Canis lupus familiaris: one gene and its partners. The protein of the gene in region 4 interacts with the protein of the main gene of each other region in a biochemical or structural test. Links are inferred from orthologs where the notes say so. Each region holds a gene or a part of one and is shown on either strand. Other genes may lie near its edges.

Evidence for each region. The genes of interacting proteins can lie anywhere in the genome.
Region 1: the proteins of DOK1 (region 4) and CRKL form a complex in vitro, tested with the Homo sapiens proteins (2 studies listed by BioGRID, with this or other methods). The link is inferred for Canis lupus familiaris from reciprocal best matches to the Homo sapiens genes DOK1 and CRKL.
Region 2: the proteins of DOK1 (region 4) and FGR form a complex in vitro, tested with the Homo sapiens proteins (2 studies listed by BioGRID, with this or other methods). The link is inferred for Canis lupus familiaris from reciprocal best matches to the Homo sapiens genes DOK1 and FGR.
Region 3: of the proteins of DOK1 (region 4) and LYN, one has a biochemical effect on the other in vitro, tested with the Homo sapiens proteins (2 studies listed by BioGRID, with this or other methods). The link is inferred for Canis lupus familiaris from reciprocal best matches to the Homo sapiens genes DOK1 and LYN.

Annotation. Positions count from the first base shown.
Region 1 is NC_049247.1:30,711,175-30,716,228, forward strand, and holds part of CRKL (crk-like protein), read right to left. Parts: intron 1,395-5,054; coding exon 1,260-1,394; 3' UTR 1-1,259. UniProt on the Homo sapiens protein: May mediate the transduction of intracellular signals.
Region 2 is NC_049223.1:72,079,341-72,084,394, reverse strand, and holds part of FGR (tyrosine-protein kinase Fgr), read right to left. Parts: intron 2,312-5,054; coding exon 2,208-2,311; intron 1,963-2,207; coding exon 1,813-1,962; intron 1,132-1,812; coding exon 976-1,131; intron 899-975; coding exon 719-898; intron 146-718; coding exon 69-145; intron 1-68. UniProt on the Homo sapiens protein: Non-receptor tyrosine-protein kinase that transmits signals from cell surface receptors devoid of kinase activity and contributes to the regulation of immune responses, including neutrophil, monocyte, macrophage and mast cell functions, cytoskeleton remodeling in response to extracellular stimuli, phagocytosis, cell adhesion and migration.
Region 3 is NC_049250.1:7,934,557-7,939,610, reverse strand, and holds part of LYN (tyrosine-protein kinase Lyn), read right to left. Parts: intron 3,602-5,054; coding exon 3,470-3,601; intron 1-3,469. UniProt on the Homo sapiens protein: Non-receptor tyrosine-protein kinase that transmits signals from cell surface receptors and plays an important role in the regulation of innate and adaptive immune responses, hematopoiesis, responses to growth factors and cytokines, integrin signaling, but also responses to DNA damage and genotoxic agents.
Region 4 is NC_049238.1:49,089,009-49,094,504, forward strand, and holds DOK1 (docking protein 1), read right to left. Parts: upstream 3,530-5,496; 5' UTR 3,429-3,529; coding exon 3,369-3,428; intron 3,127-3,368; exon of another isoform or gene 3,032-3,126; coding exon 2,732-3,031; intron 2,585-2,731; coding exon 2,491-2,584; intron 2,285-2,490; coding exon 2,100-2,284; intron 1,828-2,099; coding exon 1,015-1,827; 3' UTR 571-1,014; downstream 1-570. UniProt on the Homo sapiens protein: DOK proteins are enzymatically inert adaptor or scaffolding proteins. They provide a docking platform for the assembly of multimolecular signaling complexes. DOK1 appears to be a negative regulator of the insulin signaling pathway.

The DNA.
Region 1 (5,054 bases), on a different chromosome or scaffold from region 4:
GCCACACCTTTGTACCCAGCTGGCTTGTGTGAATAGCCCTCTTTTAGCTAACAAGGAAATGTTTACATCAAATTGCTAAATCGCTAATGGTTCTCCCAAGTCACTAAAATCTTAGACATCAGATGCATTAACCAATTTCCAGAACTTGAACTTTCTTTGCCTGGGAGCATCTCAGACACAGAGACTGGGGAACCAGTATTAGCAGCACCATCTTTCTCTGGCAGCTTTGTGAGCTTGGCCTGCAGCAGCGAGGAGTGAGCCTCAGTGAGTAGAATTTAGATTCATTAATGAAGTCAATGATTCTATGAACAACCTCACTTTTTAAAGAAATTTAATTCCTATACCTTAAAGGGGTGTATTCACTGAAACACTGGACAGAAAACTAGCCAAGTGCTTTCCCCCATTGTTCCTGTCATCACTGACAAAGTAAGCAAAGTCTTCCCCAAATCACCCCCTACTCTGGTGCTTTTGGGGAAAATGTAATCCAAGGAGCCAGGCACACAAGCTTGGCACATTACAACTGACTTTTGTGGGTTGTTTACTACACGGCAAAACAGGTACAACTGGCAGCCAAGACAATAAAGGCCTCTGCTTCAGGGTTGTGTTTTGTTTTGTTTTTCCATATTCCTTTAGTTACAGCAGCTTCAGTTTGGGAAGCTCAGAGGCACGTGTCATTCCTTACAATATCACAAAAATCCAACCTGCTACTTAAAAACCTGTTCAGAACACACAAGTCTAATTAAGTCTTCCAAAACCAAACGAAAAGGAAAAAAGAGCCAGATTTGGGGAGTTTAGGACAGAATTCCCTCTTCTTTAAGGTCCATTTGCTCTGTTCTTCAAAGGAAAAACAAAACGGCGACTGAACCATTGCTTTGTGGAACAGCAACGTGCAATGTCTCACCATGGCCTCAAGCTCCATCTGATGAACATGACAGAAATCAGTCACAAGTACAAACAGGGCAGTGACGAGAAGACCGACCCTTTCCTCATCAACTTCTCTCCACTTGTGTGCTTCCACCAGTATATCCAGTTTATGATCCAAAAGAACTCTAATATCTGCTACTCTTTGACAATACGACTATGATACAAATGCCGAGGCAGCCACTGTGCATTCCAAATGTGTATGAGAGACCGCCACTCTGCAGAAAGCTGGACATCGGCAATGCAGTGTAACTTGCCTATGAGAGAGAATGCTTTCCCACTTCAAAGGAGACTATGACAGGCAGAACAAGGAAGCAGCAGGAAACAGGCAACAGCAATCACTCGTTTTCATCAGGGTTTTGAGGGTCAATGATTTTGACATGCGTAAAGGGGAAAAGCCCTTTGCGCCCATTCACTTCGCCTTCCCATTGGCCATTTATATTCATCCTTGTGACTTTCACAATGTCACCAACCTGTAAGGATGGAGAAAGAAGACACAGTCAGCATTTTCTCTGCAAACTAAAAAAAAAAAAAAAAAAAAAGTTTAACCCATATATACTGTTCTATCCAAAGGAACCTATAGAATTTTTAAAGTTTTTTTTTTTGGGGGGGTGCATAAACCTAAAATCAAGCAGTGCCAAAGACACAATGTGGGGGGACCTGGGTGGTCAGTGGTTGAGAATCTGCCATCAGCTCAGACTGTGATCCTGGGGTCCTGGGATCGAGTTCGGCATCAGGCTCCCCAGAGGGAGCCTGCTTCTCCCTCTGCTTCTGTCTCTGCCTCTTTCTCTCTGTGTCTCTGATGAATAAATAAAAATCTTAAACAAAAACAAAAACAAAGACACAAGGTGCTACCATAAGCGTGCTGTCCTCCTCAGCTGGTGAGAATGTGTATTAAGTGAAGGACCTTCTAAAAAAAAAAAAAAAAAAAAAAAAAAAAGAAAAAAAAAAAAAAAAAAAAGTGAAGGACCTTCTGAGCATAAAAGCAACTTTTCTCCCTATGTCAGTTATTAACTCCCAACAGGAAAGAAATGAACACTTAACTACTCTCAGGATGGTTGAAGTGAAATCACACACAAAAAAAGGGTATTAAAAAAAAAATCTATCTCCACCCTAATATACATGGGGTGGAAATGCTGTCACCAACAAGACCTCAGTTACCAAGCCACCCCCCCCTCTCCTGCCCCAGGCAGCAATAATGTCTCCCTGATTTGTCCATTGCCTGCTCCTCTGTGGGGCCATCACAGGGAAAGGAAGCCCAACTCTGGGCATCTATCTTTTTCAGCCTACTTTAAACTTCAGGGTGGGGGGAATTCTATCTATTGTGAGAGGACAGGCACCAGTTAGGGACTGCCCCACTCATTAAGGAGAAGGCAGGAATTTTGTTTTGGAAGTGGTTTTCAAATTGTTCTGGAGACCCACAGAACTCTAGGGAGGTATTTTAAGGGCCCAACAAGTGTCTGGGCTTTCAACTTTTTAAACCTTTATTTATAAAGTTATAATAGAAAAAAGTATACTGAAATGCACCACTGCTAAACTAACCTGTGCTGCCTGCTACCTGCTTTTCATGCAGATCTCTCTTGGAATTAAACTGCTTTCATCATGTATTTGAAGACTCCCCCCAAATGACAAGGTAAAGGTTAAAAGATTCCTATCACTGCTCCAACAACACACATTCAGAAATAACCTGGGTGCTGAAGTGGATATCAGACTGCATCTATCATTCATATTATTTCCAATTTTTCCTGCCCATTTTAACAGTTAACTGTCCTGACTTTTTATTTTTTTTTATTTTTAATTTTTATTTATTTATGATAGTCACAAGAGAGAGAGAGAGAGGCAGAGACACAGGCAGAGGGAGAAGCAGGCTCCATGCACCGGGAGCCCGACGTGGGGTTCGATCCCGGGTCTCCAGGATCGCGCCCTGGGCCAAAGGCAGGCGCCAAACCGCTGCGCCACCCAGGGATCCCCCTGTCCTGGCTTTTTAGCAAATTCTTAGAAATCTCAACTTTAAATTTTTTTTTTAACTTTGAAAATTTCATTGGGAAAAAAGGGTCTTCTGCTAAAACTATGGTCCAGCAAGCTTGACTACTAGCCTGGATTCCAGAGGGGACAATGCAGCTTTAGAAGTCCACCGGCACACAGCTCTGCTGGCACACTTCATGTGAATTGTGCCAGAATGGCTTTGCTGCCATTCGTGTGAAGGCCGACCTCCTTCCTCCTGCCCCATCCCTGCTCCAACCCCCTGAAGCTCAGAGGTGTTGGGCCCAGCCCCATCGCCTCTCTTGGTTACCAGGGAGGTCAATGCCCTCTGAGGAAAAGGAGGTATGTTTTCTGAGGCAAATATGAAAGTCATTTGGATTAGTTTATGAGATGGCTAAGACTCAAGCAGAAACACTAAAATCCAGTAATGTGGTTGTTTAAACATAGGTATCTATAAAACAGAACAAAACAAGAAACAAAAAGCTAAAACAAAAGGGATGCCTGGGTGGCTCAGCTGTTTGGGGGTCTGACTCTTGGTTTCAGCTCAGGTCATGAACCCAGGGTCCTGGGATCGAGCCCTGCATTGGGCTCCCTGCTTGTGGGGTGTCTGCTTCTCCCTCTCCCTCTGCTAGTGCACGCTCTCTCTCTCTCAAATAAACGAATGTCTTGGGATCCCTGGGTGGCGCAGTGGTTTGGCGCCTGCCTTTGGCCCAGGGCACGATCCTGGAGACCTGGGATCGAGTCCCACATCGGGCTCCCAGTGCATGGAGCCTGCTTCTCCCTCTGCCTATGTCTCTGCCTCTCTCTCTGTGACTATCATAAATAAATAAAAATTAAAAAAATAATAAATGAATGTCTTTAAAATAAACAAATCCTCAAAAACCAAACCAAACCAAAAAAAAAAAAAAAAAGGTAAGGTGCATAAAATGAGGAAAACTTCAATTAACAGAGACCTAAACTCTAGACTCCAACACCTATTTAGACCATGGTCCAAACAGAAGATCAGCCCTTTCTTTTTAAGATTTTATTTATCCATTGGCCGGGGTGGGGGTGGGGGTGGGGGCACCAGCGACAGTGAGCAGTGAGGGAAAGGGAGAGAAAATGAAGCTGACTGAGCACAGAGCCTGACATGGGGCTTGATCTCCCAACTCTAAGATCATGACCTCAGCTGAAACCAAGAGTTGAACGCTTAACCAACTGCACCACCCAGGCAACCCAAGATCAGCCATTTCTAAGACAGCATCAAGAAATTTATAGGGGGGGTTTACAGACATGTTGCCCCAAGATTTTATTTATGAGATAGAGAGCACACGAGCAGAGTGAGAGGCAGGAGAAAAGACTCCCCGCTGGGCAGAGAGCTTGATGTGGGGCCTGATCCCAGGACTCCAGGATCATGACGAGAGGTGGAGGCAGATGCCCAACCCACTGAACCATCCAGGCACCCCCAGGCCTGTTTTGCTTTGTTTTGTTTTTTCAATTCAATGGACACCATGAGTCAGGGACCCTTTTTCACAGAGGTTTTTACTTGCAGAGCTTCTTCAGAGTTGTTATTATTACTCTTGATCCCCAATGTACACTAACGTTCTATAAGGCAAGGCAGGCTGACACAACAGATCTAAGAGTCTGAACCTCTCCATCATCACAAAGTGCTGGTTTATCACAAAGCAGAGGTAAAAACCAAGGAGCATCCAGTGCTGGTCATCTGTGTTCTTGCCACCTTGCAGAGTGTAAAGGCAGCATGGCCTACCTGTGCCTAGGACCACTCAACCTTCCACTTTCAGCCTCTTCTCACCGAGACACTCACTGCGTTTAATGGTCTATCTTCACAACTTCCCCTCGTGATCGCAGACTGACTGCTCTGAATTTTCTACCTCTCTGCTCTCCATTTTTTATTCTACCATTTTACTTGTGATTCTCCAAATATACTGAGAAAAATGCAGTCACTATATTTAGGTGGAAAATAGCACTATTAACAAATGAAACCTCTCACACCTTGTGGAAACCAGCTTGAACACTTGACAAATGAAAATGGGTAAAAAGAACTTTAAAACCATGAGGCGGGATCCCTGGGTGGTGCAGCGGTTTGGAGCCTGCCTTTGGCCCAGGGTGCGATCCTGGAGACCCGGGATCGAATCCCACATCGGGCTCCC
Region 2 (5,054 bases), on a different chromosome or scaffold from region 4:
AAGGGCACAGGGGTTTCCGGAGGTTAATAGGAGGGCAGTCTGAGATAAAGGCTGCTGTCCCAGTTTACCTGGGCTGCCATATCCACCAACTGGGGCAGTGTCAAATCCTGGCCTTTCCGGTCCTTGAGGAACTCCAGCAAGCTACCTGAGGAAAGGAACTCAGAAAATCAGCGGCAAGACTACCCCCAGCTCCAAGCCAGCCTTCCCTCGCTTGGCCCCGCCCCCAGCCAGGTTCCTTCTCACCCAGCTTGGCCCCGCCCCCTGGCCCCAGCCCTCTCCCTTAGACCCGCCCCCACTCGGGATCCAGCCAGCTGCCTCAGACCCTCACAGATCTCGCCCAGGACCCGCTCCCACAGACACCCAGACTCAGCCCACAGCTCGTTTCTTCCCTGCCTCCGTCCCCCTAGACACGCCCCACTCAGACTCCGCCCCAGATCCTCCCTCATCCCAGATTCGGTCTCCGCTCCCCCAAACCCCACCCACCAACTGACCACCCCGCCCCCAGCGACCGAGGCTCCGCCCCCAGCCCCGGCCCCTAGCCCGGTCTAAATATGGGCCCGCCTCCACTCTCAGGACTCACGTGGTTTCCCTCACCCCGGCCTCACTCTCGGACTCTGCCCAAAGTCCCCTGTCCCATCACAGATCGCCACTCGGGTCCCTCCCCCAGAGACACCTCTCTGAACACCCCCGGACTCCGCCTCCTGACCCCGCCCCTCACCGTGGCACATGAACTCGGTCACGATGTAGATGGGCTCCTCCGACACCACGGCGTACAGCTGCACCAGCTTGTCGTGCCGCAGCAGCTTCATGATCTGCGCCTCCGCCAGGAAGGCCTTCGGGGACATGGTTCCCGGCTTCAGCGTCTTCACCGCCACCTTCGTGCTGCCGTTCCACATGCCTGCCAGGTGGTCGTGGTTCGTCAGCACCGGCTCCCGGTTGTCCCAAGCCCGCGCCCCGCCCCCGGGACCTCCGTACCCAGCCACACGTCCCCGAAGCAGCCGGTGCCCAGCCGGCGCTCGAGCGCGATGGAGCTGCGGCTAATCTCCCAAGCATCCTTGGCCAGGCCCATTGTCTGCGGCTTCATGGTGGTGCAGGCCACCGAGAGCAGGTGGCAGAGCCCGTCGTTCACCTCTGGCGGGGGTGGGGGGTGGGGGGCTGTTGCAGGTAGTGGGCAGGCCAGGACGCCCCACCCATTCCTCATCCTGTCCCAGGCGCAGCCCTTCCCCTGCTCCCCTCCCCCATCAGTGGAAAGGAACTAGGCCACAGGGGAGGTCACACGCCGGGGCCAAAGGCAACCTGACCCACTGAGTAGGTGAACATGTTGGTGCCCAGGGAAGGAAGGATGATCCCCTGCAGGGTTTGGAGTCCTCTCCATAGGAGGTGGCCTCCAGCTGGGCCTTCAGGGTTAAGGTGGGATTCTGACAGGTAGAAATGAGTTGGGGATTCGAGACAGTGGTGTGGACATGAGGCCCTCGCCCTTCCCTGCACCTCACCTTTGGTATAACTAAAGCAGAAACCTGGGCATTGATTCCCAGCTTCCTCTCAACCCTACAGCCCATCCTCCAAGTCAGGTCTATTTGGCTTCCTGCCCAGCTAGACATTAGGGGGCGCCCTTCTGACGTGGACAGTCTCACACCTGTTCCCTCTGGAATCCTACAGAGCAGGATCCTGGGCTGGGAACCCAAACCCTTGGTTTCCAGTTTTGCTCCAGCCACTACTGCTTTGGGAACCCCTTTCCTTCTCTGGCCCTAATTCTTAGTGGGTTAGTTCAGGGACCCAAAGCACACACCAGCCCTGGAAGCCAGCCCTCACCCATGTAATGCTGTACCAGCTCCTGCACCGAGTGGAACTGGGCCCGTGTGGTGATGTAGTAGCCGCCCGTGTCCAGTTTGCGAATTTTGTAATGCTTCACATGGTCGCCTCTGGTCTGGTCCCAATCCCGGATGGACAGGGAGTAGGCACCTGTGGGCAAGGGTTGTTTTCGAGTCTGCTTTCCTCCTCGCTCATCATTTTGGAGCCTGAGACACCCAAATGCCTGGGGACTCAGAACTTGGATGGCCACATCCCTTGAACTCGGTCCTAGTCAAATCTCTGAACCTCCACCCCTGTCCCATCTGCCCACTCCCCCATGACCCAAGCCCCTCACCACTGTTCCTAGCCCCACCCTAACAGCTGAGCTTCCCATTTGCCCCTTCCCAGGCCCCCACCTTTGGTAGTCTCACTCTCACGAATAAGAAAGGCCCCCCGGGGGTTCCCAGGGGAGAGCAGCTGCCTCTCAGCATCCTTCCTCCCGATCTTTCCAAAGTACCACCTGTTGGGAAGGGCCAGCAAGAGTCAGATACACCCAGATACACCCAGTTCAACCCACAACTCAGCCTCCTGGGGAAAAACCACCTCACTAGCCAAGATTCAATTTCCTCACTCTTGAAATGGGGCTCATACACCTGCTTCACAGCCCGGCCCGTGAGGTGCACAGAGACCAGGAATGTGGAATGCTTGGCTTGTGGTAGCCACCCAGTAAAGGTTAGACTTCTCTCCACTCTCTGGGTTTCCCTTCAACTAAAATCACTAGGACCCCAGTCACTAGTGACCTCATCAGGGTGCTACCAGTTTCTGAATGCATCTCACTACCACTCCTCCAAGGGCTCATTTTGCAGATGTGGAACTTGAGGCTCAGAGAGGAGAAGTGACCTTCCCTCAGGACTGGTTGATGAGGTCTACGTGAAATGCTTTACTTCCCAGCCTAGTTCTTTTCCCACCACCTAGGCAATCTTCTCCCCATCCATCCCTACCCCCAAATCCTTTCCTCCTATGACTTCCAAACAACAGCCTTTCCTGCTTCTCTTCCCCTCTTCATGACTGCTCCTGCCTGGCTCTGACTGCTGGTTTTCCTCCACTCTCTTTAACTTGGATATTCTTATAAAGCTAGATTTCAACCTCAGATGTCAGGCATTCCTTCTTTGTCTTGGATATTTTTCCTAAGACTGAACTGTAGCCTTAAATCAACTGTGAAAATACACTGGGAGAACCAGAGTGGCCCCACAAGTGCCATAGAAGACTCAGATGTCCTTTGATTACAAAATTGGCCAATCTGGGGCGCCTGGCTGCCTTCAGCTCAGGTCATGATCTGGAAGGTCCTCAGCTTGAACCCTGTGTCACTTCCTGCTCAGTGAGGAGTCTGTTTCTCCCTCTCTCACTCTGCTTCTCACCACTAGCTACCCGACCCCCTCCTCACTAGCTCTTATGTGTGTGTGTGTGTGTGCATGCATGTGTGTGCATGTGTGCACTCTCTCTCTCTCAAATAACTAAATAAAATATTTAAAATAAATAAATAAATAAACCAGTTTACACCTGGGTACTGGGCATAATTTGGGGGACAGGAAGGTACTGGCAAGTAGAGTGTCCAGGTGGGCAGGCAGGATGGGGAAAGAGGAACTGTAGAAGGCCTATGTAGACAGGACACATTCGCAAGTTTTTTCAAAGCCGTGCCCCCACCCATACCCATGGGAGTAGTTACCTCCTTAATAATTAATTTAATAATAACAGTACTTATTTTATGTCATGCTCTGCTTTATTTTTTTTTTTCATGCTCTGCTTTAAAACACCTTATATTCATTTAGTTCTTATAACAACGTTGTGAGGTAGGTCCTATTATTAACCTCCATTAGACAGATGAGGAAATTGAGATACCTAGTGGTTAAGCAACTTGCCCAAGGCCACACGCTCTTAAGCTGTGTTGGCCAGAATAGGAACACCAGTTGTCGCTCAATGGCCTGCAGTCTTAACCACAACGCTGCTCTTAACCATGGCACTGCAATGAGTGTCTCTCAGAGCTTCGTGACACTGCTTCTAAGATGCGGACACAAGCATGAACCTCCCACACCTCCCACCTTCTGCATCATCACCCTTCTCTTTTCCATGACTCCTACCACTTTCTCTGGATGAAGGCCTCACCTCCTCTGAGCTCAGGACCCCAACCACTTCCCTTCGCTCAGGGACACCTCTCCCCTACAAACCAGCCCCCACCTGCAGCCTCTCCATCCCACCAACCTCTACATATGCCCACATTTCTTCCTTCCCCCCAAAAAAACTGTTCTAAGCCCTAACTTGCCATCAACATTCTGTTATATCTCTCACCTTCTCTTCACTTGAAAAAGCACTTCACACTTGGGTCTTCACTTCCTCACCTCCTACTCCCTCCCAGGCTCTGCTGTCTGGCCTCCACCCCCACTTCACACAGAGACATCTCTCACCAAGGTCACCCCATTGCCAAATCCAGTGGCAGCCTCTGACACTCCCTTTCTTGTTTCCTGAAACCTCTCCTCCACCCTCTTGGCTGTTCTGACTTGGCTTGGCCTGGTTTCCTAACGGCAACTTCTCTTTCAAGGCAGCTTTCTCCAAAGTTGAGTCCTAGGGCCAATTTCTTTCTCACTCTTCTCCTCTTCCTTCACCCTCCTGTGCAGCTTTAATTGTCACCTCCATCCTGGAGACTCCCAGATTTCTACACCAGCCCAGTTGTGCCCTCTGCAAGAGCTACAGCAAACAAAGAGCCTTAGTGCCAAGTAGGAAAAGATGCCCTCTCCTCTGGGCTAAGTCAGCAGCCTGGCCCTCTCATACGAAGCACAGCCTAATCCAATTCCTGGCAGTGTCCTTCACCTGGGTGTTCTTCTCTACAGACCTCAACTCAGCAAGTCCCCCACCAGAACCCAGGTATCTATACCTGCTCCTGTGTTCCCCACGTTAGCAAATGGCACCATCACCCACTTAGTTCCTCAAGAAGACTTTGGATCACACTTAATTCCTCCTGTTCCTTATAACCAATGGCAAATTAGTAACAAATCCTGGTGACTCCTGCACTGCAGTCTCTCTGATCCATATATATATAATTATATATGTATATGTGTGTGTATATATATATAATTATATATATATGTGTGTGTATACATATATATATGCACATAGATAAAAAAGTTGTTTATGAGCCTCGGTTTTCTCATCTGTAAAATGGGGACAAAATATCAATGGTGTGACTGTAAGAATTAAATGACTCAAGG
Region 3 (5,054 bases), on a different chromosome or scaffold from region 4:
TTTATCTAGGTAATGGGTGTCTCAAGAAAAAAGTCCTATTTGGGAAAAGTCCTAAGTGTGAATTAGAAGCAGAATATTAACTCTGATGCCTCAAATTTTCATGAGGACCAACTCCGAAGTCATGTACAGCAACATCATGATAAACTGTCTACGAATCCAGTGCTCACTCATCAATGAGAACAAGCAAATTTATAAATGCTAAGGAGAAGGCTTGGAGAAAAGGATTCCTCATAGCTTGGAGCCTAGGGGGGCTAAAAATGTTAAAACAATAGAAACTTGTTGAAATGGACTAACAGTAGTCGAAGACAAAAGGTTTGGGGGATTGGCCCAAAATACAACTGATGAGTGCAAGGCCTTTTTCTAAAAAGAGTGTTAAGAAAAAGACTTTTACTGAATTACATTTGGTGTGCACAGAAGTTAGATGTGTCCGCTCAATGAATCTATTTCAACACAGACACTGCAAAGAGAAAATGACACTCCTACCTTCTACTGCCCTGCATTTAGCATCTGACTACTAGAATTTTGATTAAGTAGCTTCTGCTGGCAAAATTGTATATTTTACTCTCTCATTCCCAAAAGTTTGTTCTCTGTTGGTGATATCAGTTTTGGCACCCAGCCAACATGTGTATTTGATACACCTCTAATCATATCTCCGGATGTTTCTAGAATGTCTCTGTCCAATTCACCAGAAATTGATAACAATGATTCCAATGGGGACAAGGAGAAGGACAGTTGGCTGGAGATGAGGAACAAAAGGCACACCACTTCCACCTATACTTCTTTGTATCTTTTGAATTTAGAACCATGTGGCTGTACTCTTACTTAATGATAAACAAAACAGGGAAAACTTCTTACTTAAGAGATAATAGTATGAGTATAATATTTTTAATTCTGAGCAATGAATATGAGAATATAACAAAAATTCCTGAAAGTCAATGCCTTTGAGGAGCATGAGGCCAGGGAGGCAATTTTTCATTAGAAGTCTTTTTGTACCACCTGATTTTTTTGATACACCATATATCACTTAAACAACTGAAATATTTAATGAAGACATAATTTTTAAAAATGAGAAAAGAAATGGAAACTTCAGAAGCTTATCAAAAATAAATTTTTTAAAGATTTTATTTATTTAAAAATAAAATTAATATAACCTACCATTTCATTGCCCAAGGATAGTTAACATTTTGGTATATTTCATCTTTAGCTTTATATTTCTTTTAAAAAACATGTTTTCACTTTATATCTGACTTCCTTAGTTTTTCTTTGTTTTGTCTCCTCCTTTCTCTTATTCCCATTATTTTGCAAAGCTAGGTGTATAGTCTCTAAATTGCTTAAAAAAAAAAAAACCCAAAGCTTAATGTATCTAGCACTCTTCTGGGTAAAGAAAATATGCCCGGATAACTCAATTATCGGTGCGGTCTCTCCGACAAGCAGTTTCATAACCGTGATGGAAATGGTCCGTGTTGGCAACATTCACTGATTTCTGTGCTACCTGTGTGAATCAAGTCCTCTGATATTTACATCAATAAGATTGTTCAGTTCTGTTCACAACTCCTAAGCTAGAGGCTCTCATGATGTACAACTCTTGCGACTAGACTACCTCAACCATCCAGAGCTCCTGACAGTATCTTGTATCTCCTGTCCTTACAGGGGACAGGCTACCTGGGAAGTGGATCAGTCAGTACTGTTTGGTTGGTCGTACTGTATTTTTTAATTAATTAATTAATTAATTAATTAATTAATACCATTTTTCTACTGCTTTTTTAAAAGATTTTTTTTACCCTAAATATTTATTTTAAAATCCTGGACATTGAGCATAGCAGATGAAAACAAGGGTTTTGTGAGGCCTGGGGTTCAGAAGCAGCTCTGCCGGGAGCTAGTAATTCAGTTCCAGGCAAAAGGCTCCTTCTCTGAGCCTTATGGGCATTGTCTGTGTGTCATTATGGAGCCTGTCAAACATATCACATATCATTTTATGAAGTTAAATGTTTATTTGATCAGATATCAGATTATATGCATAATCTGAAGATACAGAATTTCTCTGTAAATAGATGTAGATTATAGATAAAGATACATAATGTCAGATATCAGGATTGATCAAGAAAATATTTCTTTTTCCTTGTTTTACAGTAATGTTTCTGTTCATTTCAGCATCTAGAGCAGAGTGGCAGTCAGAATATGAAATTTTGGCTCAAGGGGGATTTCATGGCACAGTCAGCCCACTGTGCGGCACCACCCGAAGGCTCTCCCCTCCCCGCTGGCCTCTGGGTCCCTGATTTCTCTATGGTTCATCCCTAGACAGCACTGAGGGAGATCAGGAGCACGAAGGCCACATTGCTGCTCTGTCCCCAAGTTTTTCTCATCCACAGCATGGTGTCTATCAAGATGTTAAATGGCTTAAACCCGTGATTCATTCATCTAGCAAATACCGACACCCAAACCACTGGGCCTCAGGATCCCATATGGTGACTGTCACCTCTGTGGGATGCTCAGCCCTCCTAGACAGCCCTGTGGCTCCCTCTTCCAATCTGCTGCTACAAAGGTCATAGTGTCAAACCAGCATCCATCCTCCTCCTCCTCCACGCTCATCTTTCAATCATAGTGCACCTGCTCCATCTGATAGTTGTTGTCTATCCGACTTTAACCAGTCTCTTCCTACTAGAATATTAGCTCTCAAAGGCAGGAGCTCTCACTGCTGCATCTGGGCATCTCGAGGCCAGCACTCTCAGGTATTTTTCAAATGAAGGAATGATTTAAACATTAAAGATTTAATCTTAAATTCATCATACCCATTGATTTTGTACAAAGCACTAATGTAAAAAGCCTAACAACTACTGTGAAGGCTTTGGGAGAAATGCTTCTTGCATATTTGGGCACAGATCCTGGGAAGAGGGGGTTTCTGGCACAGTCTGACTCCAAGTGCTTTGGGTGTTAGGACTCTAGAGACACTGAATGGATGTCTTTGCATTGGGGAAGTTATGGATTGGAATGACCTTTCACTAATAAACAGACGTGGTTATTTCCCGAAGAGGCAGAGGTTCCAAAATACTTTATACAAATCTCCACTTCAAAACTAACCAGAAAGCACTGTAAACTCTCATTTCTGTGTCTGTTTCCTCCTCTACCAGGTGTTCTGCTTAGGAGGAGCACCATGTCTCACCTTCTAATCCATTGTCCCATCTGCAATACCTGTGGGGGTGTTGGGCCCCTTCTCAGCACCAAGTGATGGAATCCATTGGTGGTGGGAGGCACGGGGAAGAATCCGCATTCAATCAAATAAGAAGGCAGAGAAATGTCTAAGCATTTTTAGAACAACTCCCACCGAAGACCGTCATCTAGAACAAAGTGCTTATTCTTAGCCTTTGGAGATGGGTTTATTTTTTATGCCTCCTGTAAAAGCCATGTGGCTTTTTTTTTTTTTTTTTTCTCATACAGACCACTGGAATGGAAACAAGTAAGTGAATGATACCTGGGTAAGGAATCTTCCCATAGGTGACGATTTCATACAGGAGAATGCCAAAGGACCACACATCAGACTTAATGGTGAAACATCCAAAGTTGATTGCTTCTGGAGCTGTCCACTTAATGGGGAATTTGGCACCTACAGGAGAACACATGTCTTACTTGGGCCTCTGAGATGAAACAAAAAGGTCATGGGCATGTGGCCTTCATACTTTCCTCTTTTGGGGAAAATTTTAATTATTTCCTTTGAGTAACTAATGCATACACATAGTGCAAAACAGAGACGGTACACATGTTATACTGAAAATAGGTGCCTCCCTCCCTGTTTCCCTTTTGGGCATTCCCCTTGCGAGTAGCCAAGTTTCTTTTCTTTTCTTTCTTTTTTTAATTAATTAATTCATTAATTAATTTGAGACAGAGAGATGGAGAGCATGAGTAGCAGGGGAGGAAGAGGAAGAAGCAGACTCCTCACTGACCAGGGAGCCCAATGCAGGGCTCCATCCCAGGACCTTGGGATCATGACCTGAGCTGAAGGCAGAAGCTTAACCAACTGGGCCACCCAGGTGCCCCAAGAAGCAAAGTTTCTTGTGTATCCATAACTAACTTACTTTAAACAAAAGAGCCTGACACAGAATGTAAAGGCATTTGTTTTTAGTTTATATATTTGTCCCTCAATAGCAGCCTCTAAAGCATAAATCTTCAGTGTTCAAATGTTCTCAATGAACCCATACTATGTTATATGGAATATAAATGTCTCTTGATGTGTATATTCTTGCGGACAAATCTCTGTGCGCCCATACCAATAGGGATTTTAGATACTACTCCAAATGTTAAGGTCTCCTGCTTTCATTTGCTCAGCTCAAACATTACTACGTCTAGGAACTGGGGAGCATAATGATCTGCCCAGAAAGAGATATTAATGACACTAGGATTCTTGTGGGGAGCTGGTGAGGCCTAACCTGGCTTGGGGGGTGGGAATCTTGTGGGGGTACCTTGAAGAGAGTAGGGACTCAGGCACAGAATGTTGTCCCTATATCCTGGAAAAGGTTAGGGGGTTCCACCAACCATTTTTAAAAACTTTAAACATGTCTGCTTTTATTAGGTCTTTGCTTTGGAATTTCTTGTGGTGTCAGACCCAAATTGGAAATCCAAACAAGATCAGTAAAGATAGCAGAAAGCCTCATAGAACAGTAGGTATGGTGCAGGGCATGCACTGTTGCACATTCTGGGGATTAAACCCTGCATGGCTGGGTAGCGGCAGGGGGCAGGGTAGGGCCAGGTGGCTCCAGTAGGGACCCCAGTTGTGTGTGGGGGTGGTTAGTCCCACACAGTGCACCCAGTTTGAATCCTGGTTCTAATGCTTCCAATGTGGCATGACCCTGGCAAGCCTTTGGGTTTTCTTGGCACCTTCTTCTATAAAATGAGGAAACAGAACCTCCATAAGGTTGGTGCCAGAGTTAACTGGGTTAAGCTGCATGCTTGGCATAGGGTAAATATCAATAAAAGGTAAATATTACTGTTGCTCTGAAATGGCTACTATTTAATTCTAGAATCTAAGCTCTCTGCACTAAGCCACCTGTCCCACACAACAA
Region 4 (5,496 bases):
CTGTGCTCCTCCCAGTATACCCACCACATAGCAGTTCCCTTCAACCCTCAAACAGAAAGATGGTTGATGCTTAGTACCTACAGGTAAAGTGTGTGTGTGCTGGGGCAAGTGGTATCATATAGCTGAGAAAAAGACCTATTGCCTTCCTGTTCCCCTCTGTCCATGCCTGTCTACCTTTCTGTTGGCCCTCTCCATCCATGGAATAACTACCATGTATAAAATGCTTAATCTTGTGCTTCAGACTGCATTAAGTACTTGAGAAACTTAACTCCTTTCATACAAATAGCCCTGTGAAGTAGAGTCTGTTGTTGGGTTTTTCCTATTTTACAGAGGGGCACCGAGGGCAAATGAGAGTTGCAGATGTTTTAGAGCTCGCCCAGCATCACAGAGACAGTCTCAAGCCCAAGTGGGCCTCACTGGACCACCGAGGCTCTCAACAATCACACTGCTCAGCTCACCTCCCTGAGACTCCTTCCTCTTTATGTGGCCCCCAGTACATTCTCCTGACCCCTCCACACCAACCCAGCACACCCTGCCACCATGTCCCATCTGTGACTATTCACACACATAGACCTTTTAAACCCAAGCTGACTTTAATGAGAATAAACTTCTTAAAATCTGTCTCTGGCAAAGAACAAAACAGGGGTGACGATCCAGGCACAGTCCAGCATCACCCTGTAGCCTCCATTCAGCCCCCTCAAACTGTACCAACCCAGACAAAGCCCCCATTGTCATAGACCTGGTCCAGCAGCTGTCCATTCCTTTGGGGAGGATGACTTGGGGGTGCTGGTCTCTCTCAGGCCCCATCCTTCACCTCTGCCATCTGTCCCACTTCCAGGACTTCTTGAGATTGATCATCCTTCCCCTGACTCCCCTGATCCCTCTGGTCCCCTGGGCTGGCTTACAGGGGACCCTCCAGCCCTCTGGTTCCTGCAGGCTCTAATACGTTTCTTTGATCCCCAGTACCACCTCCCTGTGGGGGTCCTATCAGCAACCCCCGCCTCACCCTACCTCTCACGTGGAGCCTTCTGCCTGGACTCCAGTCCTGTTAGCCCCTGCTCTAGACAGCTCACAGTCCCAGCTTCCTGAGGCACTGCTCTTCTGGACCTGGCTGTACAAGGCAGTGTCTGCGCTGTGGCCCTTGCTGCCATTGCCCATTGCAGCTCCAGGTTCAGAGAGGGCTAAGCCCCGGGGCTTAGGACCTGGGAGAGGCTTTGTGCTCCGAGGAGGTGGCACCTCGTAGTCATCAGTGGCAGGGTTGTAGGGGAGCTCATAACCCTCCTCCTTCACCCGAGCCTGGCACCACCATGCATCCTTGGGCTCCTGAGGCAGATCATAAAGGCCCCGGAGAGCAGCTGGGGCCAAGCCCTCAGGTTCATCATAGATGGGGTCCTCTTTGGGGTCCGTCAGCTTGGCCTTCAGCAACTGCTGCTGCACGTGCTGGTACAAGTCCCAATAAAGAGGTTTCTTCAACTGTACTCCCTCCCCTGCCTGAGCAGCAGTACTGTCCAAGGGGTCTGAGTACAGGGAATCCTGGGAAGGGCCTGGAGGAATGCGCAGAGAGTCTAAGGGTTCAGCATACAGGGCAGGAGGGCTGCCCAGGAGCTCCTGAGGGCCAGGCGGGGATGCCAGCGTCCCCTCTGCCACTTCTCCTTCGTGGGAGTCGGCTTTCAGACTCTCCTGCCCTTGACCTTCCTTTCCCTGGACCTTCTGCCGATGAATAGCAGTCTCAACTGCCTGAAAGATGTCATTCCCCTGTGCTGTCTGGAAGGTAAAGGTTCCAGGGCCTGAAGGGCAGCGGCGACCAGCCTCAAAAGAGAACATGACCTGAAGAAGGTGTGGAGGAAAACACATTACCAGGAGCCAGGAGAGGAGATGAGTCACAGGGCTTGTCCTAGTTACAGAGGATCTACAAAGAAAAAACTATTTGCGGGGGGGGGGGGGGGGGGGGGGGGCGCACAGGCAGAGGTCACAGGCTAGGCAAGGAAGGGTTACCGGGAGGACAGAACTCGCCATCTTCTTGTCCTGCCCCACCCCACCCACCCATCCCACAGTTATCCCGACCTGGGATGCCCATTCTCCCCGACAGCCCCCTGCACCTTGTCCCGGCCATAGCGGCGCAACAGAGTGTAAGGCCAGAAAAGGAGTGGCTCCAGTATCTGAGTCTGCGCCCCGACGGTCAGGAGAGTCAGCTTCTCAGCCTCCACTCTCAGCACATAGGAGCCATGCAGGCCACAGCGCTCAGCGGCTTCTGTCCTCTGCACTGTTACCCAGAACTGGGATCCTGTAAAGAATACACAATTAGATGGGCACCCAACAGACTGCTGGGTGAGAGGGCTGGGGAGGTGGGGACGGGTTGTCCAAGCACTCACTTGGAAACCAGCTTCAGGGGCTTCCTATTCCCCATGGGTCCCTGACCCTTTAACCACTCTCTTCTCAAGGCACCCGTCCTTTCCACCCCATCCCTCCGCAGGCTTCTCAGGCATCTACCTTCCCAGGTGGGACTATACAGCGAGTTCTCCAGCATCTCCAGGGCAGAAAGCTTGGGTGGGTTTTCCGCAGGCGCCAGAGCCCAGCTGCCTTTCTGGGGTAAAGAGAGGGAGTATCGAGATCCCTGCAATTCCCTCACCGCTGTTCCCGGGGTCCGAGCCAGCCGCGGCCCTCGGCTCCTGTAACCGCCCCCACCCCCGTCGCCTCTTGGGTCCACGGCGTTTCGCCCCAGCCCCCTCACCGGAAAGGCGTTTCGGCACAGGGTCTGCACCCAGGCGGCGCTGGACGGCGCGTCGGCCGCCAGCAGGTGGGAGCGCTGCGCGGTGTCCAGGCGGAAAGCCGCGGCGCCAGGCTCGGGGGGGCTGTCCACGGCCACAGGGACCACGCTCACACACTCCGCCAGGCGGATCACCTTGCAGTCCAGGCGGCGCGAGCCCCCTCGGCCCCCTCCATTGTTCGACCCCTTGTGGTCAAAAAACTCGAGGCGCGCCACGCCGTGGGGACTGGCAGGATAGAGCACAGCCCAGGTCTTCCTCCACCTCTGGGAAGAGAGAGCGAGAGACGCTGGCGAGGGAGCGGGCGAGCACCGGCGGCCCGGCCCCGACGGGACAGGAGACCCGCGCAGGCCGACTGCAGGTCTGCAGCTTCCCCACCGGGGCGCAGTTTCCCGAGAAGGAAGCCGCTCCGTCCGCCCAGAACCGGGGGGTGGGGGGGTACCCCGAGGCCAGCGGACGCTTCTCCCGGGTGGGAAATCAACTCCGCGGGAACGTCACGGGGTCTACAGCTCCCGCCCCGCGCTCCAACCCGCTGCCGCCCCCGCGGGCTCCACAGCCCCCTCCTAGGTCTGCAGGCGCGCGGCGACCCCTGCCCCGGGCTACCTTGGTACCGAAACGCTGACTTTGCAAAAACAGCGGCCCTTCCATCACGGCCCCGTCCATGGCCCCCGGCGGTTCCTTCCGCGCTTCCTGGCCCCGCGGGCTAGAGGCGGGGCGGGGCGGGGCCGGGCCTCCCGGGGCGTTCCGCCCCTCCCCCGGCCTCCGCGGGCCGCCGAGCGGGAGCGAGCAGAGCAGCCTGAGGGAAGGCGCGGGGGTCCGTAGACGGGGTGGGCCGCGCGCCACCTTCAGACCCCGGCCCACCGGCCCGAGGCCCGCACAAGTGCTCCGCCAAGGGAAGCCTCGAGGCTTCGGCCACGGGGCTCTGGCGCCCGGGCTTACGGGCCGGGTAGGATGTCATATGCTCAACGTGACATCAGAGTGAAGGCCGTGACGTCACCCCGAAAATGCCAGTGGGCACCCTGGGGCACCGAAGGGCTGAGGCGGGCCTTCTTCGCCTCAGTTCGCCTGACCGGATCCGCCCCCAGCCCGGCTGGAGTCCGGCTGTTTACACTCCGCGGAGCCCGGGACGTGGGGGAAGGGCTGGGGACTGGGGACTGGAAGGCTTCCCGGAGCCCCGAGCTGAGCCGCGGCCTCCCGCCGCCCCAGGGGCCGCCGCCCGGGCCGGTCCGCGGCCCCGTGGCCTCTTGCGTGTCCAGCTCCGTGACCGCAGCCGCGCGGCCTCCAGCCCGCGGGAAAAGAAAGCTTCATTGAGCAGGCCGGGAGGAGGGGCGGGGGCGGGGGCGGGGGGAGGTGGGGCGGCCGCGGCCAGCTCCACGGGGGAGGGGAGGACCAAAAGGAGAAGAGGAGGGAACTGGCCGGGGAGGAATCGAGGAGGAAGGCGGAATGTGGGAGGGCTCAAGGAGACGTGGGAGGGACAAAAGGAGAGGGGGGAGGAAGGGGGGGTCCAGTCTCCCCTGGCCGAGCACTTTTTTTGGGAAGTCCTAGGACTGATCTCCAGGACCTGGACTCTTCTCCCAGCACCTAGGGCCCCGCTCAGCCAAAGGTAGGGCGAGTCACGCTGCTGCGGCAGAAAGGGGAGTTTCGGATGGCGAGGATGGTGAAGGGACCACGGAAAAGGGGTGATGCAGGATGGGGTCGAAGGGAAACCAACCAACAGAGGGCTTTTAGCATTGTTAGCGTGAGACACAGTAGAGTGGAGAGAGGAGGCAGATATTTGGCGGGTGGGGGGCTGCAGGGTGTTCCAAATAGGGCTGCTGCCAGGGCCCTAAGGCTAGAGGCTCCTCTGTGAGGACCTACCCCTGGGCCCCCAAGCCAGAATGTCCCCAGAACAAAGCTGTCCTGTTGTGTTGTTTGTTTGAGTTGGGGAAAGCATGTTCCAGGGGCCCCTTGCTGGAGAGGGGCTGTTCTCAGCCCCAGACAGAGGGAAGGCCTTGGCTGAGGAGCTCATTGGCACCCTGGCCTCCGGTTGCCCTGAGACAGCACTGTTGGCAGGAGGTCTGGACAACCCCACCCCGCTCTCCCTCCCAGCCTGAGGCCTGGCCCTCCTGGGCCCCTTGACCCTGCAGGGTATGTGAGAGCCTATGTGCTGATAGGGTGTGCAGGGGGTTCTCCACGCATCCTGGTCTCTGCCCTCTGCGGTGGAATCTACCCACACAGGACTCTGAGCTTGACTTCCCATCAGGGAACCGAAGATCTGAGGGTCTCCTAAGCCCCCTCGCCTGCTTCTCTCCACAACCAGTAGCTATCTGCCCTCTGTCTGACTGGCTGAATGGGGTCGTCTGGGTCCCTCCCACAACCCCTCCTTGGCTCCAGCCAGTCCCTCTCCTCACCTGTTGCCCGAGTCTGACCATTGCTGTGTGCCGCTGGCCATCTCACGGTCACCTTCTGTCCATCTTCCACACTGTCGCTCTCTGCCATCTCTCTCTGTTCAGTCCTCTTTCGTTCCCACAGTAGTTTCCTTTCCTCTCACATCCTGTCTGGGTCTCCCTCTTGCCCAGTCTTTATCTCTTTCTCTCAACCATTCTCTGCCTCTTGGTCTCTAATCACTGTCTTGATTTCTGGGTCCCTTAGACTAGTGGGTGGGGTAAATGGAGGTGATGGGGAAGGGCCTTGTAAGACCGAACAACTGCTGGTGAGGGAGAGCTGCTCTGTCTCTGTGTCTGTGCCTCTC